Linked DNA regions of Coturnix japonica. The protein of the gene in region 4 interacts with the protein of the main gene of each other region in a pairwise test. Links are inferred from orthologs where the notes say so. Each region holds a gene or a part of one and is shown on either strand. Other genes may lie near its edges.

Region 1 (4,966 bases), on a different chromosome or scaffold from region 4:
AGCTCCGTTTGGGAAAGTTCTGATGCAACAGATGTTAAACTTCCTCTTCTGGATGTATATACTGATATTGCACAACAACTACAGTGAGAGTTATAGTGAGAGAGTGGATCAACGTAAAGGTTGTAAAGCTAGGAAAATACAGAGGGTGCTCCAAAAGTAATGCCTCCTATTTATTTCCATAACTACAACAGATGCAAGGAGCACATTAAGTTTATTTGATATCCAATGACATTGCAAATGCACTTGCAAGTCATTTTGACAAGCATGTCATAAAGAATATGGTCATGCAGATGTTTTGCTCTGCGATAGTTCAATTCCACTTTATTCTCTCAAACGTATCTAAAACGTTTTTATGTTTTATTATATTAGTTTTTATATTTTAGTTAAAATTTGTCATGGTTTAACTTAGGAGCCTGCAGTGAAGTCTTAAAAACATTAGCAAAGAAAAATAAATATCTACATTCCTTAGATTTCTACAGGCAACATTAAATTAAAATAAAGAAGATTTCTGACCTAAGAAGGAATGATAGTTGCCCAAATAACAAAGTAGAAAATTCTGAGATCAACACAGCTTGAGAAACCTCCTCTTGAAGAAGCAGGACACCTTTTAAATTAGTATAAGCTGTAAAACAAGTGGAAAGAAGGAAGTATTTGCTGATGAAGAAAAGTGATTTTGAGACATTTTTACTTAGATGTGCGAAACAGTTTTATAAGCATCTCTGTTGCTTTTGCAGCTAACTGCAAGAGGCCTGAAGATACAACATGGCGCAGCGTGGCATGGCTTCTATGAGCGTTTTTCATCTCAGCATGCAGAAGCAGCATGGTTTCAGCAGTTGCTCCTTATTCTACTTTACATGAACGAATGACTGTTGTAGAAACACGGGGATGCAAAGTATCAGCTAACAAAAGTGCTGCAGATTATCTCCGAGTAGCAGACACAGGCTCATGGGGTTGAGGTAAAAACACGTGGTTCAACACAAAGAAGCACACAAAGTGCCTCAGGCATCCACATGTGCTGCACAAGATGGCAGAACAAAGAATCAACACCTCCTCCTGCCAGGCCAACCTTCCTGTATTCTCTGAAGGAGGATCAGAAGGCTCAGAGAAAACAGGAAAAAACATTTATTAGTGATCTGAATCAAGGAAAGAGTCCAACAGCAACAGTTAAGCCGTGGGACCATTGGTTGTCTGGCAAATATATCAAGAAATGAAGCAGAAATTTGTAACATTTCAAGGTTTACAACAAAAGAAAAACTTCTGAGCAACTCAGATCGACGATCCAACAAATGAAATCCTGATGTTCAATAAATGTAAATACAGTGAAGTCCACTTTCAAGCACCCAGATCTGATAAACAGAGCGTGCAATTCTTTGGGAAGCAAAACAAATAAACAAACAAAAACACTCACTTGGAAGGCTACATTCACACGGCATTTCTGGAAATTAATATATATATTGCCTTACTTCTTAGTCCGAACACTTCCACAAGCACACACCACAAGGGATCATTTGCTTTTAGTCAATGGATCTAAATAGTGAAACATCCGAAATAACACCCCAAAAAGTTTCAGTAGACGAAGTACCTTCCACGTGCACGCCTTCCAACACCGGCCATGTTCCATCGCCGCCATTAGATGGAGCTGCAGAGCAGCACAGCAGGCTGAACGTCAATCAGCCCCGCGGGGTGGGCCGGGCCGGGCGGAGCGGAGCGGGGGGCGGTGTAACTGAGCGGAGCCGAGACGGGTTTATGGCACCGTGCGGGTGGGGGTCGGCACCCGGGTGAGTGGGGGCTGTGTAAGGGTTGAGGCTCGCGCAGCGCCTCGGGACCTTCCCCCGGCAGAAGGAAGCAGTGAGGCGGCCACAAGGTAAGGGCACGGAGTCGGACCCAACAGCCGGCGGTTCGGGTTTCTCCGCGCCGTGCCCGCATCGCTGGCGGTGCAGAGCGGGGCGGTGGGCGATTCGTACCCGCTCGGTGCGGCCCCGAGGTGGATGAGGACAGGCCCGGGCTTATCCCGGACATGTCCTGTGCGGGCGGCGCGTGCGCGGCCCCGTCGGGCCCGGGGTGGTTCGGTGTTGTGAGTGTGTGTGTGTGTGTGTGTGTGTGGGGCTGCGTTGGAACTTGTTTCTTCTTGCAGATGATCGAGACGCTCGTGAGCAGCGATGCCCGCGCGCTGCTGTACCAACTCACAGCTCTGCTGGAGCAGGAGGTGCGGTGTCAGCCGAAAGGTTCGGGCCTGAGGTTGATCGAGGCTGCCCATGATAACGGGCTCCGAATGACCGCCAGGCTGCGAGACTTTGAAGTGAAGGATCTGCTCAGCTTAACTCAGTTTTTCGGCTTCCACACGGAGACCTTCTCGCTGGCTGTCAACTTCTTAGATAGATTCTTGTCCAAAATGAAGGTATGGCTGTTTAAAGTATAACCTCGTTAGCTTCTCTTCGCTGCGACCTTGCTCCTGTTTATGTAGAAGGTCTTGCTTTGTTTTTAGATGGCTAAAGGTTAAGCTCCTTCCCCAGATCCTGATTGCAGAGCTTAAAAAATGGCTTTCCCTGGTTGGATTTCAGCAGTGCTAAGAAAGATGCTTCCTCTGAAGAAGAGAAGGAAGGGGGCGTCTGTTCCAACTTGAGGGTGCCCGTAGGCTTGGAAATGCAGGCTGCGTTATTGCTTTAGATCGAGACAGGCTGTCTGGCCTGTTGCACATACCCAAGAACACGCTGAATTACCTCACAGTTTACTGCTGTTTAAACCCACTAGTGTGTCTTAGGTATAACAAGAGTTGGGATACTGTTCAGCATTTATTAATCATGTAAAATGAGTGTCTAGCTAGCATTCTGTTCTTTAGCATGTATTTGGCATGCTGACCTGGGTTATTTGTCTTAACAAGACAGGATTACTGCTATTCCAATTAGTCCAAGACAAATGCTTGACTTTCTTGTATGTTAGTATGTCCCTTAAAAATCAGAAGGCTGGGTGGAGTATGAGACTTCTGAATCCAAAACATGCCCTTACAGATTCTCTGTGGTTCCCTTTTATACATACATACATATGTGTGTATATATGTATATACACTAAATTCTTGGGATAAGCCAATATGTACAACACTTTAGGTCCTACACAACCTCATTAAGAAACTAGTTCTACCAAATCTTTTTTTTTTTTTTTTTCCCCTAAAATAACATATAATTTGGTACTTGCATATTGAAATGGTTTATTTAAGGCTTCCCTCTTTAAAAGTAACAAAAAACTTTGACTTTTCTTTAGGTACAGCCTAAACACTTGGGCTGTGTTGGATTGAGCTGCTTCTACCTGGCTGTGAAGGCGACAGAAGAAGAGAGAAATGTTCCCTTAGCCACCGACTTAATTCGAATAAGCCAGTATAGGTTCACTGTTTCTGATATGATGAGAATGGAGAAAATCGTATTGGAGAAGCTGTCTTGGAAAGTCAAAGCAACAACAGCCTTCCAGTTTCTACAGCTTTATCACTCGCTCATTCATGAGAATTTAAGCTGTGAAAGGTAAAATATCTCAAGCTTATTTTGTTAACAGCTGCAGGTGATCAGGAAGCCTATGTTGGAAAACAAGCAGATTTAGTCAAGTAATTGGCCTTTGGATATTCAAAAAAAAAAAAAAAGAAAAACCAACAAAACAGGATAAAACCTTCCTCCTTAATATTAATGTGAATACTGAGGTGTAATGTTATCTTAAAATGTTTTTTTTTGTTGTTGTATAAAGTCATTAAATGAGTGTTGTTCTCTAAGTCCCAAAACAAATTACTCAACAGTGATAGTGTAAGAATGTTATGTCTGTAAAGCCTTACTGCAAAGGTTTCAAAATAGGGTTTCAGAAAAATGTTCCTTTTAGTAGTTAACATTGAAGCTCCCTTGTGCTAAATCTATTTTGATAATGCTGTTTTTCCCACTGTAATGCAAGATTTATTTTGGGCATGAAGACTGTCAAAATTTAACACCTGCTTGACTAAAATAGTTCTTCTCCTGGTACAAATGAGGCCCTTGTTTAGAGAAGAGTGGTCTTAATAAATGTTGTGTTCTTGTGCAACAGTGACTTATCTGTTTTTATTACAGGAAGAGATACCTTAATTTTGAGAGACTTGAGACCCAGCTTAAGGCATGTCACTGCAGAATCATGTTTTCTAAAGCTAAGGTAAACTTCTTGTAAGCTGGTTGGTGAGACTGGAGAAACTTTAAAGTTGCAGATCAAAAATGTCATCTTATCTTTCTCTCTCCAGCCTTCTGTCTTAGCACTGTCTATTCTGGCACTAGAGATAGAAGAACAAAAACTACTGGAATTGACAGAGGCACTGGAATTTCTGCAGTTGCAGTCCAAGGTATGGATAAAGCTTTTCAGGGTGTGGGAATAAAAATGCATGTGAAAGCTTTCTCGCTGGGGGGAGGGGAGTTCTATTGATGTGCTGGTTTCTATTTTCCTCTTTTTATCTTCCATCTGGCTTGAGATGTTTGGCTTTTTATCTTAAGTAGCTAAAAATGCATATGTAATTTAAGGATGTAATGAGTTAGTAACATATGGATTCTGTCTCACTATTTAGATAAACAACAGAGATTTGACCTTCTGGAAGGAGTTGGTGTTGAAGTGCCTTACAGAATATTCCTCGAGCAAGTGTTCCAAACCAAATGTCCAGAAATTAAAATGGATCGTGTCTGGACGTACAGCACGGCAGCTTAAACATAGCTATTATAGAATAACACACCTTCCTACAATTCCAGAAACCAGCTCGTAATAGGTAATAACCTGTAAAAGCAGCTTCTCACAATGTAGAATTAATTAGCTGTTAACTATCTCAAAGTTTCTTAGTCCATATAGGTAACCTGTTGGAGATGTAAACGTAGATGTAGTAGGCCTGTCACAGAGGCTGGTCTGTTCTCATGTTCATGCTTGAGCCTGTGATGTACCTAAAGAAGTGGCTACCTAATACGTGAACACTGGAAAAGGA
Region 2 (4,299 bases), on a different chromosome or scaffold from region 4:
ATAGTATTCATATAGTATACATAGTATTTAATATAGTATTAATATAGTATTGTAGTTAGTAGCATGGGTTGCCCACCCAGGAGTCATCTTAGTGTCTTCCTCTTTTGTTTTATATAACATTTTATATACGTGCATTTTAAATTTATCACTAGTATTTTAAGACAGTTACTGAATTCTATACATTAAGTTTATCTGTAACTAAGGAGATTTCTTGTTTGTTTATTCTGTTTTCTCACTAGCATCTTTGGAAACTGATGGTGGAGGAATCTGACTTACTTGGACAACTGAAGGTAATGTTACTGTTAACTTGTTTCTGCAAAAGTAGCTTAAAATTGCTGGTGTGGGATTTGCTTTGTTTCATTTTTTTTTAATGGTCCTTTCCCAGCAAATGCTTTACTGTCTTATGTTTTATACTTTCTTCTTTTAGGTAACTCTCTTTTCATTTCCCAAGATCATGAGTACAGTGATAGAACTTAGTCAGAGACAGAGTTAAAGGAGAAAATGTATGTGGTTTTGTGCTTTGCATCTCAGAGATTCATTTTATTGCTTGCAGTGCATTGCACTGTAGACTTTCTGGCCACTGGATGAAGTTTACAGCTCTCCAGCTGTGTTTTGAAATGGCAGAAATTGTCCAAGTAATCAAAAAGCATTACCAGTTATAATGCTTACTCTTTCTGCTCAGTTTTTTATATGCTTACATATAAAAACTTTTCTAAACAGATTATAAAAGACTTTTACCTTTTGGGAAGAGGCGAGCTGTTTCAGGCCTTCATTGACACTGCACAGCACATGTTAAAAACACCACCTACGGCTGTAACAGAACATGGTGAGTGCTGATTACTCATCTACAAAATGTCCTCCCTGTGCTCTGGCAGGAAAATAGTAAAGTCCAGTGCAGATTTCCTTATCTTATCCTCTGAATGTTTTCATTAGTTTTGAAAGAGCAGTACTTCTGAATTACAGAATAATGCACATTGGGCAAAAATAACATCTTTCAGTAACTTTCAGATGATAGCTTTCTCTCCGTATTGAAGAGCGAAGTTAAAGTAGTGAAAGTAGTGTTGGTCTTTTATGGCCCAACGTAAATAATTAATAGGTGCAAAATAAGCACTGTCCCTATCTTGAGTTTTCTGTTAATATTTGTGTTTTCTCTCTATCAGACATCAATGTTGCATTTCAGCAGTCTGCTCATAAGGTACTGTTAGATGATGACAACCTTCTTCCTTTGCTTCACTTGACCATTGAGTATCATGGAAAGGAGCATAAAGGTATCTATTTGAATTTTTAGTAATGAGTTAAGAGGGATTATGACAATGACCTGGTTTTCAAAATCCTACTGCTCTCATGTGGATTTAAGAAATATTAAATTCTCTTCCTTAACAGCCCTGTGTGATACCCTAGTTTGCTTTTCCTCTTCTTGTTCTGTTCTTTCCCCTTTTCATTCTTCTCTGGAAGGCTTTGCCTTGACTGAGAGAAAGACGTAACTGAGCACCTTATCTGTTTTCAGATTCTTCTCAGACTCGTGAAGGGACTTCCCGAGAGTTATCTCCACGTGAAGCTCCTGCATCTGGCTGGGCAGCTCTGGGCCTTTCTTACAAAGTTCAGTGGCCACTGCATATTCTCTTTACTCCTGCTGTTTTGGAAAAGTAAGTACTAAGTATTGTCTTTGTGTCTGGAAGCTCCCTGATCTCAGGCTTTTTTCCCTTATAGAGAGCATATAAAAGGTATCTACCTATCTAAAGGTAGAGCTTTAGCACCTGAGCTTGCTCACTGAGCCTTACTCTTCCTACTTAGCAATGTTGAGGTTACTTGTTGCAGATGAGGCCATGGCTGAGCTGTCAGCAAAACAGATCTGTCAAAACTTCACCAGCTCTTTTCTGGTAATGTTAGAATTTGTTTTGTTTTTTTTTGTAATCAATAACCAATACAATCGAATCTGTTACTGAAATTGGCTGCTACTTCATCTACCCTGTCTGTTGGCAGGCAACTATCTGCCATTTCTCTTTCCAGTCTTACACTGTTGTGTTCTCCAGTACCTGTAATCAAGAAAGAGTTCTGTCCTAAACAGCTTTGTTCTTTTTTGACTGTAGGTACAATGTTGTGTTCAAATACCTGCTCAGCGTGCGACGGGTCCAGGCAGAGCTACAGCATTGCTGGGCTCTCCAGATGCAACGTAAACACCTGAAATCTAACAGAACTGATGCCATCAAGTGGCGTCTGAGGGACCACATGGCTTTTCTTGTGGACAATCTCCAGTATTATCTCCAAGTGAGTATTAAACAGAGTTGAACTTGTATCACTTAATTGGGAACTGACAGAAATCTAGGGTGGGAGCTCTGAAGTTTTAAACTACAACTTTCTCCAAGTTCCCGGATTCAGTGCTACAACTGTACAGTTAGTGGATATGTGAATCAATAGAGTTTTAAGTATTAATGGAAATGCAAATGTTTCTGGCTCTCTAGTGCTATTAAGGAGCTGTGAGAAGCCCCACTTACCCCTGAAGCTAAATCAATAAGCTGCATCCTGTCTTGGTCCTTTGCCCCTTGAAGTGAACTCTACTTTGTTGAGTAACAGTGAGTTCTTTTGGGTGGTTTTGTGTTTGTTTCTTTTAGTTAGGATTTTTTTTTTTTAATTGAAAGAAGCCATGTTCTCAGTTTCAAATCCCAACAGTAGTTAGTAGTAGCATAATTTTGCAAAAATCAATTTGTTAATAGCTACAACAGTGGAATCTAGGGGGTCTGATTTTCAGGCTTTCTGGAGTAATGGCTCAAGCCTTTGCCCTGATGAGCATATTATGCAGGCTTTGCCCATTGCTGGTGAAAGTGCATAGTTAGTGGTGGTGACTGTATTGAAAAACAGTGCTTTGTAGCCGTGAATGTGATTTATCGTACAGAAACAAATAGATTGCTCCAAAAGTCATGCTTCCTAAGTACTTTTTTCACTAGTTAGAAATTAACTGTTTTTCTGCATTTGGGATCAGTTCTTTCCTTATTACTGTACTACTGTTGTATATAGAACTCCATTAATGACGCAGATAGAAATCAATGCTCAGCCTCTAATATAAGGGTAGCGGTAGGGAAAGCAAATTTCTTATACAACTTCTAGCTGGTCTGAGGTATTCCTATTCTTCTAGGAAGCTGTTAATGTAAACTCTTTGCATATTCATCAGGTGGATGTACTGGAATCTCAGTTCTCACAGCTTCTCCAGCAAATAAATGCCACACGAGATTTTGAGAGTATACGACTGGCTCATGATCATTTCTTAAGTAATCTGTTGGCTCAGTCTTTCATCCTCCTAAAGCCTGTAAGTAGATCTTGTTTTCAACTCTTTTTCTATAAGTTGTTTTTTCCTCAAGAAAAAGGGCCTTGGTGACTACTGAAAAATATGGCATTAATATCATCTGGATTATGAATGCTTTAATTTTCAGGAACTAAAAACAAACTTCCTCTGAGGCTGAGCTCTGTATGTAATTGGTAACCTGTACTTTTTTTCCCTGTACAGGTTTTCCACTGTTTAAATGAAATTCTGGACCTTTGTCATAGTTTTTGTTCTCTGGTGAGTCAGAATCTGGGACCGTTAGATGAGCGTGGAGCTGCACAACTCAGTATTCTGGTGAAGGTGAATGTCTATTGATATGGTCTTGTTCATCTCCCTTGCAAACAGCTAAGCTTTAACTTTACTCTTGTTCTACGCTGAGATCAGACCTTCTGTGTGGACACTCAGAATTACTTGAATTAATCAATATCACCTTTTGGCTGCACCTAATTGTTTCGGCTCACAGGTTACCTTATAGTAGACCTCAAGCAAAAATCTTTTGCAGTGATACTTTTGAGAGGCTTTCCTGAACAGGTTTCCTGTAATTTGTAGGGGTTCAGTCGTCAGTCGTCGCTGCTCTTCAAGATTCTATCTAGTGTTCGAAACCATCAAATAAACTCCTACTTAGCACAACTGCTACTACGTCTGGATTATAACAAATACTACACACAGGCTGGAGGCACCTTGGGCAGGTAGGAATGGCTTCAGTGGCACTTGCAGAATTATCCTGGGGCACGTGAAATATAAAGCATGCTACACACTTGTAATTAAGCAATGTTGATTTTTCTGTAGGCCAAAATCAGTGGAAGCAAGATGCTACCAAGCACTGTGATAGAGAAGTAACAATACCAGACAGACTTGGCTTCTGGTTTTCATGTGTGCTTCCCCCCAGTGCTTTTGAGCTACCTGCTAGTTAACACTTGCTGAAAAACGGTCATGTGCGTTAATAGAGGGGAGCTTCCTTAAATTTCTTAGTATCTATT
Region 3 (5,043 bases), on a different chromosome or scaffold from region 4:
AACTAGAAAATCAGGCAAGAATAAGGAATATATTTATTACGCAGGGCTGAATAAACCTTTCAGATGCACTGAGCAGACCGTATGCTTACCAGTGTCCTACTTGCAAGAGAACACAAACAAACCCTAAAGATAGTCATCAAAACAAATTAACGGGCAGCAGCTGGCCTCCAGCCCCTAGGTTTCATACCAGGTCCAGGCAGGAGCTAATCTGGAAAGTGCCTGTTGCTTAGAGGTGGATTAATCTATCAGTAAGCCTCCTTTGCCCTTGTCGTTACAAAGTGATGGACAAGAAAAGGTGGTGGGGGATCGTAACTGGATGAGGGTTCAACTAGAAAGTCATAAAGAGGGTATATATAAATGCAGATGAAACTGCAAACTGGTGCTTGTGGGCCTCGTGTTACCTCGTTGTTGTAGCATTGCTTTTCTTGCTCTGTGTGCTGTAGCCCCGTCCCAACCTATCAGGATCACAATGGGGCACCTGCGTGGAGGCAGAGTTCTCCACCAAACAAATGTATATCAAATATACGTCCACAATAAGACCAATAAACCAACCAGCCCCACATTGATGACCATAAAACCCAGCTGACTTGGTCCATGGCCACACAGACGCCTAACTGCTTACCCAACTGCAGGATGAAGGCTCCAGAAACAATGTCTCAAAACCTCTTTGCCCCAAGAAATAAAGGTCAAAACAAATACACTACAACTCAAACATGAAAGCATGACAGGAAATGACTAACTGCACACTGAGGCCAACTTACCTTCGTCTTAGATCTACCCACTACACAAGGATCCTGCAATACAAACAGACACCACAGCTTCCATGCAGAAAAAAGAATCAGGCTGCTCGAGGTGCTTGCTATGGGGTGCAGACATCACTGCAAAACCAAGGCATTCTGCTTTATTTCCCTAATGTTCTCTTACAATTCCAGCTCTGTGCTGTAGTTTTTGTTTCCTCTAGCTGTTTTGAGGATGAAGCCATTCTTAGTTCAGAAGCAATGAATAATTTAAATTTCTTTTTACAAAGCGTTTTGTAGTCCCTGAATAAAAGGTTACGTCTCTGTTTTGCACAGGAGCCTCAAGCTTGTCTCTAAGCATGCATGAAAATCAACCCATGGACAGGCTGCAAGGGGTAGATGCAGCCATGTGCATGCGTTGTGCATCTATGCTGAAAAGCAATCCTGCATGGTCTGAGCCCAGCCCTTATTAATCACCTTCACCTGAGAGCCTGGCAGCCCTTTAGTTGACTAAGGATCCATTCAACTTCAGTTTTCGTTGTTGATGCTTTATTAATACACAAAGTAACTTTGATCTACAGGAGCAGGAAAAGACATCTAGAACACACATCTTATTTAACAATTGCCTATTGCTTCAAGGGCAAAAGGATTTTCTTTTTCCCCCAGACCAAATATTCTCTTTCTGAGTCAATTCCCTGCCTCCCAAGCTGTAGCATTCATAGTCTCCTATATAACAGTGATGCTGAGGAAGGTGGATGGCACCGCATCTGCATACAAAACCAGCAGAGCAAAGCAGAAGCCAAGGTGATAGGGGAGACACTGCACTGCCACTTGCATGCCATGCAGCTGCCTTCTTGCTGTCTGATCACCAGCCAGGGACCTCTTTGCCTCTGCCCTCACTTCTTGTGCAACAGCCTGCAGTCCTGCCTACCACACTTCTTACAGCTGCTGTGTCCCTCGCAAGCAAAGGCAATTACAGCTTTGTAACCCGCAGCATGTGAGCACTTCTAATTCTAGGGAAGGACTGAATCCTGGCAAAGACAAACTGTCTCAGGTTACCATCCCAAGAACCACTCGCCTGTGGTCCGAAACACAACTAAGATCTTCTGTTGCCTGGGAGATGCTGCATGTGCCAGCTGCAGCCGTCCCTAAAAAGGCAGCACTCCCAAGGACAGCGAGCCAAGCTAAGAAGGACATGGCACGGGAAGAGGGAGGTCTCCTGGAGCCATTCTCCTGCTAATGTAGACATAAAGTAAGTTTCAACCTTCTAGAGTTAATCATCTCTCTGCTGGGTGATCTGCTCATCAATAGTCTCCTTGGTAAAGCACTTCTCACTTAGACCCTTAGTGCTGCACGCTTTAAGCTGCAGAAGTTGTGATTATTGTGTATTCTACATAAAACCTCGAAGAAATAACCCACTGCAAGCACTAAAAATAAATGTGCAGAAACCCACATGCTTTCCAGTTCCTGCCATACTTTGAGATGCAGTCTTTGGTGGTACTTCTGAAAGGGAAGACTTGCCACATTCAAAACATACAGTGAAAGCAGCTATTATAAACGGGCACAAGCACTCACAAAATAAAGCGTAAATGCCTCTACATCACTAACACACTAAACATGGAGTTTCCTGTGTGTGGAGGAGCCACAGCCCCAAGCCCTGCTGCTGGCAGGTGCCACTGCAAAGTACTTTTGCTGACTGCCCAGAAACTCAAGAACAGCTGAAAAGTGCTCCTTTGCAGAACAAACACACAGAGATAAGAAAGAGTAACACTAACCAGCCTTTGATCCAGGCCTGTGGCTCATTCACAGAACCTCATAATCATGCTTAAATCTGAGATATACAAGGAGACCCACATAAAAAGGGATAGATCCAAAATTGGACTCTTCGAAACTTCTACATGAAGACTTCCACACAAAGAAGAGCTGATGTCTCAGCCCATGAAGCAGAGGTTGCAAAAGTACGTCCCATTTCTTTGCTGTGGAGGAGATGCTCCACACTCTGTCCCTGAAGGAAGAAGCAATAGCAAGCTGCTCTCTGCCAAGAGTTGCAGAGTTCCCAGGGCTGGCTGCATGCTCCTGCACTCCAGCACATCGGGCTTCACTACAGCAAGAAAACACCAGCACCCAACAAACCTCCCTCTGCTCTCCTCGTAGGTCAGACCAAAAACCAATCTACTCACAGTCAACGTGCCCCAAGCTGGCAGAGATTGGAACCCAAACCTCCAGGCTGTTGTTACCTTGCATTGTGGCAGTGAAGGATCTGTGCAGAGCCTGGGGATGTGCTGGGGCAGCTCCCACTGACTCACAGTGCAGGCACTATCAGCAGGTGCAGTGCAAGGGACTCTGTCCTGTAAGCACCTCACTTGTAGAACGCTCGAGTGCTCGCCCAGGAACAAAAGCAGCCACATCATAAACCAGATGGTGACATCAGCACTGGGATTTTATTTCCTGCACAGGTTCAGATTTCATTACTTGTGACATGAAATTGGACTCTTACAATTCGAGTTACTCTATATTTTCATAAAGGGCGCAGGAATCCCTGATTCCAATTTGTTGGATATAAATTGCTTCTCAACCTCCTGAAGACAGCAGCGCTCACTGATTTCCACTGGAAAGGGTCAGTGCAATTTGTACAGCACCATCCACTTGGGGCCCAGCTGTTCAAAATCCCTGGACTGCTCTTTTCCCTTCTTATTCCAAGTTCTGCTCTGCATCTCCTTCCGAAATTAAAGCTCAGAGTTATCAAGGATCTGACAGCACGTATTTCATCACTCCTGGGTTGAGTCATTGTTTCGGAGCACAGAGCATGATGCAGTGTGTGCTTATGGTCCAACACCTCTGCCAACATGAAATGCATTTCTGATTTTCCACATACAGCTGCTCAGGCTCTCCAAAAGCAACACATCCAAGACTTCTATACAAGCCCAACAGGCCAGAATTAATCTTCCTGTGCATTACATGATGTTTGCACAGGGTTGAGAAATACTAGAAATAAAAGTTCTCTTGGCTGAGTTACATGCAACACAGTGTACTTTCTGCTATTAATGACTTCAATAAGTACCTCTGACACTTCACATATTCCAGAAACCTCTTGTTTAGGCATCACAGCAGTTTTCTTAGTAGAAAAGTGTTCACTGAGCTAAAGTTAGCCACCGAAATGTCTTAGATTTTAATTACTGCCTTTTCTATTTGAAGTTTAATATGCTTGGAAAAGAGGCAGGTAGTAACTAACCCTCACCCAGGACACAAACTGAAGATTAGTTTGCTTGGAAGGAGGTTTAACTCCCTGACATCCCATCACAAACAACACAAGTACATATGGTGACCCAGTGCAAGACCATAAACACCAGAGTGCTCAGTTTCCACAGACCTGACATCCCATTCCTCTCACAGGATTCTTGCTTGGTCAGTTCCCCAGCAGCTGTCACCAGCAGGAGCACTACTTACCCTTACAACACCTGCAGGGCACGGAGCTATTTTATCTCCCTCCTGGGATTTGCACCTCAAAGGTTTTTGGCACAAGGCAAGCTTGGCAGGGCTAAAAAAGGAACTAAGATCCACGTTGCTGGCCAGCAACGGAACCAGAAAGCTTCCTTCTCCTCCTGAGATGCAGCAGCATGGAAAACATGACGTCCACTCATGCATGCTACAGATCTATATCCAAACAGAGCCCACAAGCTGTTCTATGTGAGAAGCAGGGGGGAAAGAAAGGTTGAGGTGAGCAGACCCAGCACTGTGGCTGAACCTGGGCTCCAGACCTTTCACCTGAGCAATGAGGAGTCTTTGTGTGTAGCTCCCAGCACTGGAACTTTGGGCTTTCAAAGCAAGAAGCTGGAATACAGCACCGCAGCAATGTAACACACAGGGCTACACCTCAGCTCAGGCTGTGTTAAGTCTTAAGACCCATTAAAACCATTTCTTCCTTAACCGAGGGCAGTGGAATTCGAAGGTGAGGTCAAAAGCCCAACAAAAGCAGCTCGGGGCAGTGCCTGGGAGCTCCACTCTGACAATAGAGCTCAGAGACAGCTCGGGGTCTCCTCCCTGTTGTTTTTTCACCACCCTTGTATCCTAAGTGCTACGTAGGAATCCTGCCATCAGCTGTGGACCTCAAAGAGGAATTTCTGTCCTTTCAGATAGACATTTACATTGTTATTTCCTTTCTTTTGGTTCATTAGAAGAGCCTAAAAAGCCCCCTGAAACAGACATTTCTCCCCTGTAGCACTGAGCTATTGATACACTGTTCTGGTAGGAAATAGCACGATCTGCAGGCACCATCCAAACTGCAAGAGAAAATACTGAACCCCAA
Region 4 (4,299 bases):
CTTCAATCAATGGCCTGCTCGAGGAGTTTGACAATATCTCCGTGACTCGATCCAACTCCCTGCGGAAGGAAAGTCCTCCCGCACACCACCAAGGCAATGCAAACCATGTGCCAAGGCACCAGGAGGAAAATGGTTACATCACATATTCACAGTACTCCAGTGAGTCAGATACAACAACAGACTATGTCATGGATAAGTATAGAGACAAGACTCTCTATGGGGAAGAGCTAGACAGGTACTACAAAGGGGGCTACGCTGCCAAGCAGAACGGGCACATGATGAAAGTCACTTCCAAGGACATATATTATTCAGAAATGACACCCCTGAAATCAGACCTCTCCAGGTTCCTTCCGGATTACCATGCACAAGTGGAGACGATGCCCAAACCACTTGAATATGGAGGTCTAAAGCTGGAGTACCAGAGGATTCCCAGTGGATCCTCACTGGACTACAGAGACCCCTTCCCTTACGCCCTGTCCCGAGCGTCAGTGCAGAGCGAATGCCCCAAGGAGAGACTGGAGTACAGTGACGGCGAATGGGGGCACAGCCCAGCCAAGGATGACTATGACAAGAGGCCCAAGTCATCCTACGTGGACCCAGCGAGTCCTCAGCCAACCATGAGGCAGAGGTCCAGGTCAGGCTCCGGTCTGCAGGAGCCAGCCATGCCCTATGGAGCAAGTGCATTTAAAGCACACCAGCAGGGACACTCCTACAGCTCCTACACCTACCCTCGCTTGTCTGAAACTGCAGCAGGCATCTCCAAGGTAATGTTAAGACCCCTGGTGTGGGTACTGCCAGGACAGGGACCCTTCCAAAATGGGAATGCAAAAAATTAAGCAAAATGTTAAGGGCATGGATCTATGCTTGGAAACACAGTGGTAGGAAGCATGCAACCATGGTTAGGTGGATATAAAATCCCACCAGGTTTACTTGGGTAACTGAAAACAAGAGGTTTAAGATACTTATTCAAAGAACAGTTTGGAGGCACCCAACTTCCATGAGTTTTACTTGGGATTTCTGAAAATCCCAAGTTCTGTGGCAGTTTACATGGGATTAGGAGTTCGTATGCTAATGCAAATGTTGGCAGAGCTGGGAAGTTGGTCTGGTTTGAATGTCAGGTACTTCTTGTATTTGAGTCGTTCTTGCTGACATCTCTGTGCCAGTTAGAAAACCGTTCCTGGTTTGCTGAGGAAAGACGGCCACGATCCCAGCACGTCTGTCAGGCAGAGGAGCTGCCTGCAGCTCAGCCAGCTCATACCAGCCCACACAGCCACCAGTCTGACAGTGCTCTGTGTGTACTATGAGATTCATTAACCCTTTCCCACCAATGAGGGAAGGGACTTATCCCTTACCTCTTCAATTTTTAAGAAGTGAAATAAAATCCAAGTGTCTCCTCGCACCCAAGACATTCCAGTAGTTGTTAACAAAAATAAGGGTCAAGATAGGAAAGCAGCTCCGCTGTGTTATCTACAAGCAGCTCCTCTGCAGAAGCTGTTGCTCTCTCTGCCTTTTCTAAGTTGCATGAATATTACCCAAGCAAACTATCATACCCTACCCTACCTTCTTGCAGCCTTGTTCAGCTAAAGGAATCTCTTCTCCATCAAGTCACACTGCTCCAAAAAAGACCTGCTTAAACATTTAATATTCTGCAAGAGATGTTTTTTCCTTTGGTGTAGATTTCATTGAATGTTACTGGGTTCCCTTAGCAACAGGCAGCATTGCTGTGACTTGCCAGATGTGCTGAGCTTGGTAGCTGTCACACGATGATACCCCTTCTGCTTATGATGGTGTCTGAACAGTGTGTTTTCTTACAGCCTCTGTGCACTGAGAACTTGGTCAGACCCAGATGTCATCTCAGACCTCTGCAGATACACCATGGCTTCATACCAGAGGCATGCCTGCATCTTGCTTAGGTTTTCTGGGAGGGATGCCTATACATTGTTAGCTGTGTTAAAATACAGATTCTGGAGTTTGTGAGGAAAGCTTGGGATGGGCTGCCTGCCATTTCTTTCTTTTAAAACAATCATTTTGTCTGCTGAGAAAGAGGAAGGACAAATCCACCAATAATTCATAAACTCTCTTGTTCCTGCTCCTGCCAGATTTACAGCATTCAGTAAGATGGAAGGCAGAGGTGTATTTCACAGGACTTGGAGCATTGCAGATGCTGTAAAATATCCCATTAAAATGCAGTAACAACTTTTATTAAAGAAAAAGATGCCTTCGTGCAAGATTCATTTTGAGCCGTTGCTCTCCTTGGAGCATCAAAAGCACTCGTGTAGCCTCGGTATATTGAAATTTGATGATTCACTGTTAAACACAGCAGTTTCAATTCCCAAACCCATCCGCAACTCCTGGAAGTGAATAGCAGCTTCGTGTCTTGGATGATTGCTGAGGAATCTGCTTTTCAAGGAGGCATTAGTAAGATAATGGTTCATTTAATGGGTTTACTAAGTGAGAATCGAGTCTCAAATCAGATATTGTACAAATGAAATTGGCTTTAAAGTATAATTAAAAGGGGGAAAAAGTAAGCACTGAAAAAGTCCTCAGGCACAAACGTAGGGCTTCAAAATGCATTTAACAAAGATGTGCATTTTGACTTGTAAATCTGAAGAGTAGGTGCAGATGGGTATTATTACAGATGTCAGATAAATGAGATACATGCCCTGTTCTGGCAGCAGGTTTCAGACATGTTGTGTCATACCTGGCTGCTGAGGTGGCCATGCACAGACCTGAGTGAGGCTGCAGCCAGACGAGCAGCAGCACGTCGCATTGCACTGCAGGGCTGTGACTTCATGTGCTCCCCTGACCTCATCTTGAATGAGAGTAGGGCTGGTTTTCACTTTCCTTTGTAGTATTTACAGACTTGCCTTTTGGTAGGTAATTGCACCCAATAGCAGGAATAATGGCATTATTAGCAGAATCAAGTGTGCTCAATTTTGCCACGCTGTGAAGAACTGTGTGAGGGCACAGCTGAGGAGAGGTGAGGCTGATGGAGTCACTTGGGCTCCCCTACTTCAGTAACATTGCATGGTCTGCAGGAAGTGAATGGTTGTACTGCAGATACACTGAAACACGAGCTGCAGAAAGCTTGCAAAAAAGGCGCTGAACATCTCTGTTTTCCTTCTATAATTTCACTGCGGAATTTGCTTGTCCCAACACATGGGGCATGCTCAGAAAAGAGAGGCTGTGGGTGACGCCCTGTGGTGGTCCATTGGTGTGGATTTGTCTCGTTTTAGTTTTAGACTGGGCTTTCCCCATCTTGATATAAAAATGGTGTATTCGCAGTCAGAGCAATCATCTGTGTGGCTCTGTGTACGTAGATATATAGGACAGGTCTGGATTGAGTTCCCCTCCCTCCACCAAACCATCTGAGCACTTTGCTGTGTTAATTAGTTGGGCAGCTGTCATGTCCTTCACGAAACACACGATGTCTCCGACCCCCTTCTATCTCACAGCTGCATAAGTGAAATCCCAACCGTAAGCATTTGTATGTCACACGCGTACAGAAGCAGCAGCCGAGGAGGCGGCCGTGTAACACTGCCAGCATTGGATGCGGGCACCGTGTGGCTGGGAGCTCACACAGCAGCCGCCTCCAGCTGCACGCTGCCAATGGAAGTGCCTGCACAGCCCTCACACAGAGGCATCCCCTGTGCCCTGCTCACCCCCAGCAGGACAGCAGGGGCATGCCCGGCTCACACGCAGCGCCCAGAAGCGCTGATACAGCGCTGCTCTTCTTCATTCCGAGGCTTTTCTCCCCACAACCGAGTGACTCCAGCTAGAATCTCCTCCTCGCTGTGCAGCAGCCTACACTGATAGATTGATGCTGCGGCAGATTTTTTTTCTTCTCTCTCTCTCTCTTTTTCTTTTTTTTTTTTTGCAGTCTTCGCATAAAACGGTCAAATGATGTTCCAGCGCAGAATTCAATTTCACAGTTCAGTTGGGTCCTTGATTACACTGCCAAATTCAGATTAATGTGCATTTAACTAACATGGATCAGGGACTCCTGGCCGGCAGCCAGCAGCAATAGTAGCTGCCGTGAGCTGTGTCGGGGTTGCTGCGCTGTCCACCTCTGTGGGCCGCCGCGGAAATTGATTGATTAAATGAATTCATTGCCGTAATTATTTGTAATCGTGCTACATCATGAGCCTGTGCCTGACCACCCCCAGCCCCTCAGTGCCCCACCTGCCGCCAGGAGTCACGTATGTTATGTCATAAACGTGGAGATGCCCTTTCCTGGGAAAAGAAATTAATACTTTTGTTCCAGGTGCATTTTTTTGACTTAGATCCTTTTCTGTTTTT
Region 5 (5,077 bases), on a different chromosome or scaffold from region 4:
AGACTGCAGCACTCCTGAGAAGAAAGTCTGTGCCCTCCGTAGACCACAGTATGGGGAGCATAGACCTCTTGTTCACCCTACCTGCAACAGCTGGGACTGGGAATAATCTCTCCATTCAAAGCTTTTTATTGTTCTAGAAAGGACAGTTCTATGCAGCTATATAACAGGGCTACAATCTACAACAGAAGACTGCAGATTACCTGAAACCAGCCAAGGGATGCAGCAAGATTTAGTGATCCATGGGACAAATCCCACAGGGCCCTTCCTGCTGCCTTGCACGCCCAGTGGCTCAGCTTAGCACTCACCAGCCACCGCCCTGCCCAGCCCAACACAAACAAAGCCACAAAAAGTGAGGTGAATCTGGTTTCCCTCTCCCTTCAGGAGCAAAGCAGCTGCCAGTGGACACCTCAGAGGCTGAGATTGTGAGACGTGAGCTTGGGTAGGCTGGATCCTGCAACCCACAGGAGCTTTAAGGAGCAAAGGGCATTTTACTACTAGTACAGGTAATCTAAGCTTACTACACCTTTATGCTACTGGAGTGCCAGGGGACTGAGCTGACATTCTCCCAAGCCTTTCTTTGCTTTTCCCACTACATTTCTTGCTGCTCCTGCTCCCTGTCCAACATGGACATCTCCAAACAGATTTCAACAAAGAAACAGGTCCCTGTTCTTTGTATCTATGCCCTTTAAATGCATGGAGTTCCACTAGGTTGGTGGACATAGGACTCGTCTAAACTAATTCAAACCCCTGGGCCAAAGCCAGGACAGAGCAGAGCCCTGCAATGACTTGGTTAGAACAGACATTTTCCCTCAGTTCTCTCAACCACTCTACAACAAGACAACCCCACCTCTGTGCCAGTGCATCCCGCAGTCCCTTACCAGACAGTGTCAGTCTCCAGGAACTTCACAGCTGCACGGATCAGCTGCACCTTGTTTCGCTGAGTGGGATTGTCCAGAGCTGTGTTGCACAGTGTGGTCTGCAGGATAAAGGCAACTGAAATCACTGTTATCTAAAGCTCAAGGAAGCAGCAGTTTCCAGTGTACTAGGTCAAGATAAGCAGAAGAATTTGGGACAGACTGCAAGAATCAAGGAGCTTACTTAAGAGGGAAACATAGAGTCAGAACATGGCTCATATAATAGAGTCTATCCAACCTGTTCATACCCCTTGCTATCCCCAGAAATGCTCTCCATCCCCTTCTCAAACTCCCCAGTGACACGGGTTTCCCTCCCAGTCCTGTAGCCAGCATCCAGCTGCCTGCTCAGCCTTAAGTTATCCACAGTACTCAGCCAAGGCACTGAACTCCTGTTCCCACTTCAATTGACATTAGGACAGCCTGGTCTCTCTCTGTGTTCTGCCTCTGGAGACCATTTTTGTGCTTCAGCACTCTGACCTGCTGTGCTCACCAGGTGCATAGTGTAGAACTTGATGGTGTCTTTCTGAGAGTCCCATTCTGTTGCCACTGCAATGGCCAAGGCCTCACTGGGGACAGTGAAGAGCTTGGCCTGGGGTGTTTTCAGCTTCCGGTGGTCCAGGTTGATTTCAAAGCCTCCTGGGGAATCAGAGTAGAAATCCTGGGGAATTAAAGAGGAGCAGGCACTAAGGAACAACAGACTACCCCATAGAGGGAACAAGCTCAGAGCTGGAGCTGAAGGGAGCAAGGAATCAGCAATTTTCCCACCAACATCAATGTTTTGACATTGCTCTTCCCCAGATGATGCTGGAAACTTTCCCACCACATGGTTTTACTATGGATGAGGACAAGGGCAGAGCATGTGGGTGACAGACAGCCCAGCTCACAACAGGGGCTGCAGACACAGCACTGCCTTGTGATGGTAACCCCCGTGTGAGTACCAGCCCTCGCCTGCCCCAGCAGCTCCACTCACCTTCTCCTTGTGAGATGCTCACGTTCTGGTAAAACCGCTTCCTCTCTGGGGGGTTGAAAACAGAGCAATTGAAAGGGTGGCAAGGGGAGGTTTGTCAGAACACAGGGAGCCCTCAGAGCTGCTGCAGCCCACAGAACAGCCACAAAATCCCACTCATTCAAGCCCCTCTCCATTCCAGTGAGTTCTATTCAACCTGGGAGGTGTCACAATACTGGTGACATCCACAGCAATGCCCCAGATCTCCTGACCACCCATAGGAGCAGATTTCTTGCAGACACCACTTGGAGGAACCATGAACCCTATGTGCAGCAGCAACTGGATCATGTGTCAGACACGTTGCACGTGGCAGCTGAGTCACTGGGGAGGAACCACTGTCCTCAGCTCACCGCAGCCCACACGTCTCACCCAGAAGATTCCCTTGACAATTACAACCAGCTCGTAAATGCTGAGCCCATTGAATCCACCTCCTGGCTGTCACTGAACTGTGCCCTGCCAACACGGGCCCAGCAGAGAGAAGGATGGGGATCCACTCAGCCTCCTACAAGCTTCAGGGCCTCAGGAAATGCTGCAGTGCTGGAGCACAGCTCTGGGAGGATTCAGGCACCTCAGCGTGTTCCCATTGGCCTCATGATACTCAATGAAACCCTGACTCCCATCCTCGTGTTTCCAGCAATATCTGTAGAGGGGCTGCACAGCCCAGCACGTGCCTGGGAGGGGCTGGTGGAGCTCCCCGCCATCCCACCCGCAACCAAAGGGAACCTTCAAACCCACTGATGGAAAAGCAGCGCAGTGACGCCCCACCACCTCCTTACCCACCTCGGAGCCCATTTTCCCTCTTCCTCCTTTCTTCAGCCCATTCTGAAGGCCGGAACCCAACCCCTCCCCCAGCCAGCAAGAGCTGACCTTGAGGAGGGGGCTCCCACTAATCCCCCCCCACACACACACACACCGACACCCCCCGCGTTCCCCCGCTCTCACACGGGGCTCCGGGCTCCTCCCCGCGGGGCCCACAGCTCCTCACCTGCGGGAGGGGCGTATGTTCGACTCCCACCCGGACACAGCGGGCGGCTCCGGGCTGCCACAGCCGGGATGCGGCCCAGGGCCTGCAGGAGGCGGCACATGGCGGCGGAGGAGCCGAAGAGAACGATGAGGAGCCGAGAGGAACGATGAGGGGCGGCGAACGGAGCTGGAGCGTTGCGGCCTACCCCGGCTCGGAGCGGCCTCCCCCGGCTCAGCTTGTCGCCCCGGGCGCCGCCATGTTGCCCCGCTCCGCCCAATGGGAGCACAGAACGCGCTTTGCCCCTTCGGCCTTCCCGTCGCGTGAGGCGCGAGGCGAACAAACTACATTTCCCAGCAGCCTCCTCACCGTAAAACCTGCCGGGAAGGAGAGCTCTCCGCCAATCGGAGCTCCGCCCCGCCTTCTCGCCGCTTCGCGAGGGCCAATGGGAGAGCGCGGGGGCGTTGCCGGGAGGCCCCGAGCCAGGCGGCGGCGGCGGCGGCCTGGGCGTGAGGGGAGCGGAGCGGAGCGCGGCCCCGGTGGCGGCCGCTGAGCCCCGGCCACGCTGGCGCCCGGGGACCCCCCCGAGATGCCGGTGCGCAGCGAGCGGGGCCGAGCGGGCGGAGCGGCGGGACCGGCATCATCGGCTCCGTCCGGAGCGGCCGCCAGCAGTTTGGTGCCGCCGCCTCCCATCAACACGGCGCAGCCCGGAGTGGCCACATCCCTGCTGTACAGCGGGGCCAAGTTCCGCGGGCAGCAGCGCAGTAAAGGCAACGCGTACGAGGTGGAGGTCGTCATGCAGGTGAGGGACCGTGTCCGGCGCCCACAGGGCCCCGCTGGGCCTCAGGCCTTCCCTGCTTCCCTCCCTTCCTTCCCTTCCTTCCCCTCTGCTCCCCGCTGTCCGGGTTCCCCTCGCCTTGATTCCGCCCGGCCCCGATCCCCCCCATCTCCATAAGCTCCTCCCTGCAGCCCCGGCCCTTCCTGCAGCCCCCACCCGGCTCTCACTGCCCCTCACTGCTCCATCCCCTCAGGGCTGATGGGACCCGGGGTCCTTCCTCTCTTTTCCTCTCACACTTTTGCCCCTTTTCTCCTTGTGGCTGCTGAGATACTTAACAGCAGCTCTCAGAATCACAGAATGACCCGGGTTGGAAGGGACCTCAAGGATCATGTAGTTCCAACCCCCTGCCTGGCAGGGCCACCAAACATACACATTTATTACATCAGGTTGCCCAGGAGACCCCATAGATCCCCATAGAGACCCCATAGATCAGGTTGCCCATGGCCCCGTCCAACCAGGCCTTGAACACCTCCAAGGACGGGGCATCCACAACCTCCCTGGGCAGCCTGTTCCAGGGCCTAACCACTCTCCTAGTGAAGAACTTCCCCCTGACATCCAACTTAAATCTTCCCTCTTTTAACTTAAAACCATTTCCCCATGTCCTGCTATTGCCAGCAGGACTCTCCTTCTCGTTCCCCTCAGGCCTGGGGTGCCCGTGTGCCTCTGGGCTGCCATGAGGAAGGGTGGGATCCTGCCTCGTGTTGGGAGGTGCCCAGGAAGTCCCGAGCAGTGGGACAGCCTGTATTTCAGGCCTGGCTGGAACTCAGCAGGGATCCAGGTCCCTGTGCTGGGCTTTGTGTTCCTCATCCCATGGTGCCAGTGGCTGCGTGAGGAACCAGGGGAGGGGTGCAGCAGTTCTGCTGTAATGGGAATGTGAGCAGACAGTTCTGCAGAATGGGGCTTTCCTAATCCTCTCTGGAGTCACTGTCACCCTGCGTGCTTTATTTTTAGTCAGAGGTGCTGGCACATTCAATTTGGGTAGAGGTGTGGAGTTAGTGCATGGGGAAGCCAGGCATTGATGCATGTTTTCCTGTAGCAAATCACAGCGCTGTTCCTGCTGTGAGTCTCTTGGATCGGGGCACCCAGGCTGGGTGTGCAGCAGTGCTGCAGCCTGGTGCATGGCTCGGCATTGGGGAGCAAAGTCAGAGCCCCAGGGTCAGTAGATGGGGCAGTGTGAACTGTGCCCTCTGCTTTCACATCCAGTCTTCTACTTGTCAACAGCATGACTGTACCCACTACAGTTTGTTCTGACGGAGACATCCTATGGCTGTTTAGTTCACTGCATGCTGCTTTCTCGCAGAGGCTGGCTCTATCTTTGTGCTAAAGACGCTGCTCTGTGCGTGTCAGATGAGAAGAGA
Region 6 (4,314 bases), on a different chromosome or scaffold from region 4:
GGGTGCCAGCACCAGGCCCTGACGGGTCAGTGTGAGTGGAGTGCCACTATTTGTGAGCTGGAACTGTCAGAGGAGAGATCAGAACTCCATTCCCGTGCTGTCCCCAGGGTCTGCTCCCTTTGGGAGGCAGCAGGACGCAGGGCATTGGCACTCACCGTCAGCCCACCCGGTGGCTGTGCCTGCACCGCATACAGGAGCTCACGGGGTGCCACGTCTGCCCACACCTGCACCACGTCCCCACCAGCACTAGCAAACGGGAAGGCACAGCGCAGCGCCTGTCCTGATGTCACCCTCACGTACAGCTTCCCTGTCACCTCCTGCTCCCCGGGACAGGCAGCGCGCAGCAACAGCATGTACCAGTTCACCCTGTGGGCATCAAGCTCTGCGCCAGCTCGCAGTGTCACCTGTGTGGGGACATGGCACTCAGTGGGGTGCCACACGCTCCAGCCCCACTCCCTGCCCCCCAGCCGTACCTCTGCCCTATATGTGGAAGCGGGCACGCCATCGGCACTGATTGCAATGGGGTTGAAGGGGTGGTTGGGATCAATGTTGCGTGGGGTGACGCTGGAGGCACTGGACTCGACGTGCTGCAGTGTGACGTGGGGGCTGCTGCTGGCATTGCTGCAGGACACAGACACCTCGGCCACACGGGCACCCGGCGCAGCATCCTCACTGAGTGTCACTATGCGAGGCAGGTCGGGCAGGGCTGGGGGGACACCCCAGGGTTGGCATCGTGTGGCCACGGCCACCAGCAGCTCACATGGCTGTCAGGGAACCGGGTCCTGTCCCCTGTCCCCATGGGGGTATGGGTGGCACCGCCGCTCTTACCTGCTGCCTTTACCAAGGTCCCTGCAAAGAGCACAGTGTCACTGCAGCCTGCCAGGCTGCCCCTGCAGTGCCCAGTGATGCCCCCAAGATATCCCAGACTCTGAAGCCGCCACCCCCTGTGCCCATCCTGGGGTGGGCACCCAAAGGACCCCATTTCCCGTCCCTCTTCTTTCGGTTCCTTTGAGTGCGGCTGAAGCCCAGGGCTGCCTACCTGGGGCACGGAGGAGGAGGAAGAGGAGGCAGGTGAGGTGTCCGTACGTGCCCATGGTTTGGCAGCTGTTTGGGACAAGCCGGAGCTCGTTGCCACGGGCGTCGGGCACCACCCACGCGCGGCGTCACGCCGGTCACCGCGGCTCCCAGCCCAGCCCCGGGGCGGGTGGGGGGTCAGGTCACGACCCCGCCGCGGCCGCCGATCCACGCCGCGCTCCGTGGGACCGGCTGAATTACCGGGCGGCTAATTGGAACCCTTCATTAGCAAAGCAGAGCGGCTAATAGCCGGCAATTAACAGGCGCGGGCGGGCGGCGGGTCTCCGCTCCCCTCCCCTCGGTAACGGGGCCGCCTCGCCCCGCGGGTCGTGTCCGGACGCGCCGAGCGGGGCCCCGGGGCGGCGGGCGGGGCGGGGCGGTGCCGGTGCCGGTACGGGCCGGGCTCACGTTACGGCGGCCCCATTGGCTGCGGCGGGCGGGGCGGCGCCGCGGCGGGAGGCGGCGGGCAGGGCCGGGGCTGAGCCGCGCTCCGCTGCTCCGCGGGGCCGCGGCCGCTCCGCCACCGGCACCGGCACCGGGAGCGGGGCCGGGCCGGGGATGCACAGCGCCCGTCTGGACGGCGGCCTCGGGCAGCGCCGCGCCGAGCCGGTGAGTGCCGGACGGGTCGCGGCGTGTCGGGGCGCGGGGCCGCGGGTGACATCAGCGCGGTGACATCACGCGTGGGAGCACCGAGCCAGGGACGCGGGCGGGGGGCGCGAGGCCGGCGGGGAACGGACGGCAGCTGTCAGCCGCAGCACCGACACCGGCGGAGCCGGGACCCGCCGAGCCCCTCCCGCTCCGAGCCCTCCCAGCGCCCCACGGCGGGACGGGGCGGTGGCGGGGACCGGGGAGAGGGCGAGGGGAGAGAGACGTGAGGGCAGGGCAGAGGGGACGGGGGAATGAACACCGGGCGTGCGGCTCCGCGGGCGGCGGGACGGGACGCGGAACGGGCCGCTATCCGAGAGAGGGAAGCGGACGTAGCAGCAGCTTTTGGGCTCAGACAATAGGAATTCAAGAAAGAGGAGCGGCCCGGCCGCGGGGACCGGGCTCTTTCCTTCCGCTGCCGCTCGGCAGCGCGCCCCGTTCCCCCGCCGCCCCTCGGCCCCGTGCGGTCGGGTCGCGTCGAAGCCGGGGGGGAAGCGGGTCCGACGGCAGCCGGAGCCCTCGCGCGGAGCTCCCTCCCTGGGGACGTCGCCCCGTCCCGTCCCGTCCCACCCATCGGGGCGCCCCGTGGCGGCGAGGGGCCGTGGCGGGGGGCGCGGGGCTGCTACGTGCCTCGGCCCCGTGTCACTTCCCGCAGGCACGGCCGGGCCGGGCGCCGCTCGCTCCGACATGCCGCCGCACGCCGGGCCGGGGCTGCGGGAAAGCGGGGCCCGGGGCCGCGGGCGAGCCGGGACCTGCGCCCGCCGCCGGCCCGACGCTGAGCCGCCCTTCTCCCCGCAGCGCTGCCGCCGGGAGCACATGCCCGGCACGCGGCCGGCACAACACGACCCCCGCCCCGCGCCCCGCCGGCCCGGCTCCGCCTGCAGCGAGGAGGAGCAGCGGGGCCCGGCCGCCCGCTCGCCCCCCGCCAGCGAGCGCAGCCTGGAGTGCGACTCGGGCTACTCGGAGGCCTCCGGGGGCACGTGGCGCGAGGACGAAGCTCCGGTGCTGCGGCGGCCGCCCCCGCCCTCCCTGCGCCATCACCGACTCTCCGCCGTCGTGCCCCCGCCCGCCCCCGCCCGCCGCGCCCGCCCCAAATCCACGTCGGACGCCTGCCTGGAGCAGTGGCGGGCGCTGGAACCGGCCGACGGGAGGGACTGGACGGTGTCGCTGCTGTCGCAGAGCCGCAACCGGCAGCCGCTGGTGCTGGGGGACAACTGCTTCGCCGACCTGGTGGAGAACTGGATGGACCTGCCCGAGGTGGGCGCCGAGCCCCGACGCCGACCGACCGCGGAGCCCTCGCGTCGGCTGGGCAAACCGCCCGCCTTCCTGCTCAGCCTCTCGGGCAACGTGCGCCGCAAGCTGGCCAGCATGGCCCGGCCACGAGGAGCCGACGGAGCCCGGCCGGGGGGCCGCGACCCCGCCAAGCGCCTGTCGTGCCCGCTGGGGCTGGGCGGGCAGCCCAAGGGAGCCTGCTTCCATCAGTCCCACAGCAACATCGCCCAGCTGGCCACGGACTTCCACCGCTTCACCGCCCTCATGAACAGCCGCAGCCGCCAGCCCATCATCTGCAACGACGTCATCGGCTACATCTAGCTCCGCCATGCCCCCCCCGCTGTAAATAAACCCCCGTTTTGTACGATACGGACGCGGCCGCCTTTGTGGGGTGCAGCACTGGCAGGGGGTGCGACGCAGGGAGCTCGTAACACAGCTTATCCCATGGCTTTTATTGCGTGGGGCAGGCGGTGACATCGGGGCACCCCGCAGGCTCAGGGCAGGGTGCAGAGAAGTGGGGGGCAGGCGTCCTCCAGCTGGTCCCCGGCACACACGTATTGCAGCTCCAGCTGCTGCAGCTCTGCAGAGCCCTGCACGCCATCTGACAGCCTGCAGGCAGGAAAGAAACTCTGCACTGGGCCGGACCCCCAGCCCCCATGGCCAGGGGCCGGCGGGGGTCCAGCAGGGGAAGCGCTGCCGGCAGCAGGATGTTTACCCTGCAGCTGGAGCAGAGCAGGAGAGAGATGGGGGCCCTGTAACACCAGAACCGCTGCCTACCTCTGTGCCTGCTGCCGTGCCCGCATCTCCTCATCCTCCTCCCCATCGTACAGCATGGTGCTGCCATGCAGGAGCTTGGTGACGGTCCACCCGTACTCTTCCTGCAGCCAGGCCAGCAGCTCCCGCACTGTCATCGCCTGCCCATCCTCCCCAATAGCACGCACCTCCAGCCGGTCCCAGCAGCTCCACTCCTTCCCCCTGTACTGTGTGGGGAGCAGAGCGCATGGATGAGGGCTGTGGACAGGGGTTTGAGAAGAGGGGGCTAGGGGACAAGGAGTTGGAATGGGACACAGCCACCCCCCGGCACCACTGTCCCCATCCACGCACAAAGCCCCATTGACAAGCAGCCCAGCCCCACACAATCGCCTCTTCTTGTGCCTTTGGCCCCCGGGGTTTGGTGACCCCGGCTGCAGCCCCAGTGCAGGATGCGGCCCCAGCACTTGGCATGGCTGCCCACCATCTGCCCCGCTGCAGGCAGCGCTCAGTGCTGTGCTGGCCCAGCCATGTCCCGCGGATGCTGGCAGCGGGCCGCCCTCGCCTCCTGCC

What was found.
Region 1: the proteins of PAK5 (region 4) and CCNG1 interact in binary tests that used the Homo sapiens proteins (3 or more experiments, as listed by UniProt). The two-hybrid records come from large-scale screens. The link is inferred for Coturnix japonica from reciprocal best matches to the Homo sapiens genes PAK5 and CCNG1.
Region 2: the proteins of PAK5 (region 4) and TUBGCP4 interact in a two-hybrid assay, tested with the Homo sapiens proteins (2 studies listed by BioGRID and IntAct). The two-hybrid records come from large-scale screens. The link is inferred for Coturnix japonica from reciprocal best matches to the Homo sapiens genes PAK5 and TUBGCP4.
Region 3: the proteins of PAK5 (region 4) and FHL3 interact in a two-hybrid assay, tested with the Homo sapiens proteins (2 studies listed by BioGRID and IntAct). The two-hybrid records come from large-scale screens. The link is inferred for Coturnix japonica from reciprocal best matches to the Homo sapiens genes PAK5 and FHL3.
Region 5: the proteins of PAK5 (region 4) and ATPAF2 interact in binary tests that used the Homo sapiens proteins (3 or more experiments, as listed by UniProt). The two-hybrid records come from large-scale screens. The link is inferred for Coturnix japonica from reciprocal best matches to the Homo sapiens genes PAK5 and ATPAF2.
Region 6: the proteins of PAK5 (region 4) and INKA1 interact in binary tests that used the Homo sapiens proteins (3 or more experiments, as listed by UniProt). The two-hybrid records come from large-scale screens. The link is inferred for Coturnix japonica from reciprocal best matches to the Homo sapiens genes PAK5 and INKA1.

Annotation. Positions count from the first base shown.
Region 1 is NC_029528.1:9,005,864-9,010,829, reverse strand, and holds the start of CCNG1 (cyclin-G1), read left to right. Parts: upstream 1-1,679; 5' UTR 1,680-1,864; intron 1,865-2,134; coding exon 2,135-2,398; intron 2,399-3,258; coding exon 3,259-3,512; intron 3,513-4,079; coding exon 4,080-4,158; intron 4,159-4,243; coding exon 4,244-4,342; intron 4,343-4,561; coding exon 4,562-4,753; 3' UTR 4,754-4,756; intron 4,757-4,966. UniProt on the Homo sapiens protein: May play a role in growth regulation. Is associated with G2/M phase arrest in response to DNA damage. May be an intermediate by which p53 mediates its role as an inhibitor of cellular proliferation.
Region 2 is NC_029525.1:18,419,954-18,424,252, reverse strand, and holds part of TUBGCP4 (gamma-tubulin complex component 4), read left to right. Parts: intron 1-239; coding exon 240-290; intron 291-720; coding exon 721-826; intron 827-1,160; coding exon 1,161-1,268; intron 1,269-1,507; coding exon 1,508-1,646; intron 1,647-2,090; coding exon 2,091-2,268; intron 2,269-3,169; coding exon 3,170-3,304; intron 3,305-3,502; coding exon 3,503-3,619; intron 3,620-3,868; coding exon 3,869-4,008; intron 4,009-4,299. UniProt on the Homo sapiens protein: Component of the gamma-tubulin ring complex (gTuRC) which mediates microtubule nucleation.
Region 3 is NC_029538.1:3,108,967-3,114,009, reverse strand, and holds the start of FHL3 (four and a half LIM domains protein 3), read right to left. Parts: upstream 3,114-5,043; 5' UTR 2,982-3,113; coding exon 2,975-2,981; intron 1-2,974. UniProt on the Homo sapiens protein: Recruited by SOX15 to FOXK1 promoters where it acts as a transcriptional coactivator of FOXK1.
Region 4 is NC_029518.1:12,075,721-12,080,019, forward strand, and holds part of PAK5 (serine/threonine-protein kinase PAK 5), read left to right. Parts: coding exon 1-764; intron 765-4,299.
Region 5 is NC_029529.1:5,011,952-5,017,028, forward strand, and holds the start of ATPAF2 (ATP synthase mitochondrial F1 complex assembly factor 2), read right to left. Parts: upstream 3,328-5,077; 5' UTR 3,006-3,327; coding exon 2,906-3,005; intron 2,534-2,905; exon of another isoform or gene 2,209-2,533; coding exon of another isoform or gene 2,133-2,208; intron 1,930-2,132; coding exon 1,885-1,929; intron 1,551-1,884; coding exon 1,405-1,550; intron 977-1,404; coding exon 879-976; intron 1-878. Other genes in the region: GID4 (glucose-induced degradation protein 4 homolog), read left to right, coding at 3,471-3,683. UniProt on the Homo sapiens protein: Plays a role in the assembly of the F1 component of the mitochondrial ATP synthase (ATPase).
Region 6 is NC_029527.1:1,347,544-1,351,857, forward strand, and holds INKA1 (PAK4-inhibitor INKA1), read left to right. Parts: upstream 1-1,543; 5' UTR 1,544-1,632; coding exon 1,633-1,683; intron 1,684-2,517; coding exon 2,518-3,312; 3' UTR 3,313-3,360; downstream 3,361-4,314. Other genes in the region: UBA7 (ubiquitin-like modifier-activating enzyme 7), read right to left, coding at 3,486-3,600, 3,769-3,971. UniProt on the Homo sapiens protein: Inhibitor of the serine/threonine-protein kinase PAK4. Acts by binding PAK4 in a substrate-like manner, inhibiting the protein kinase activity.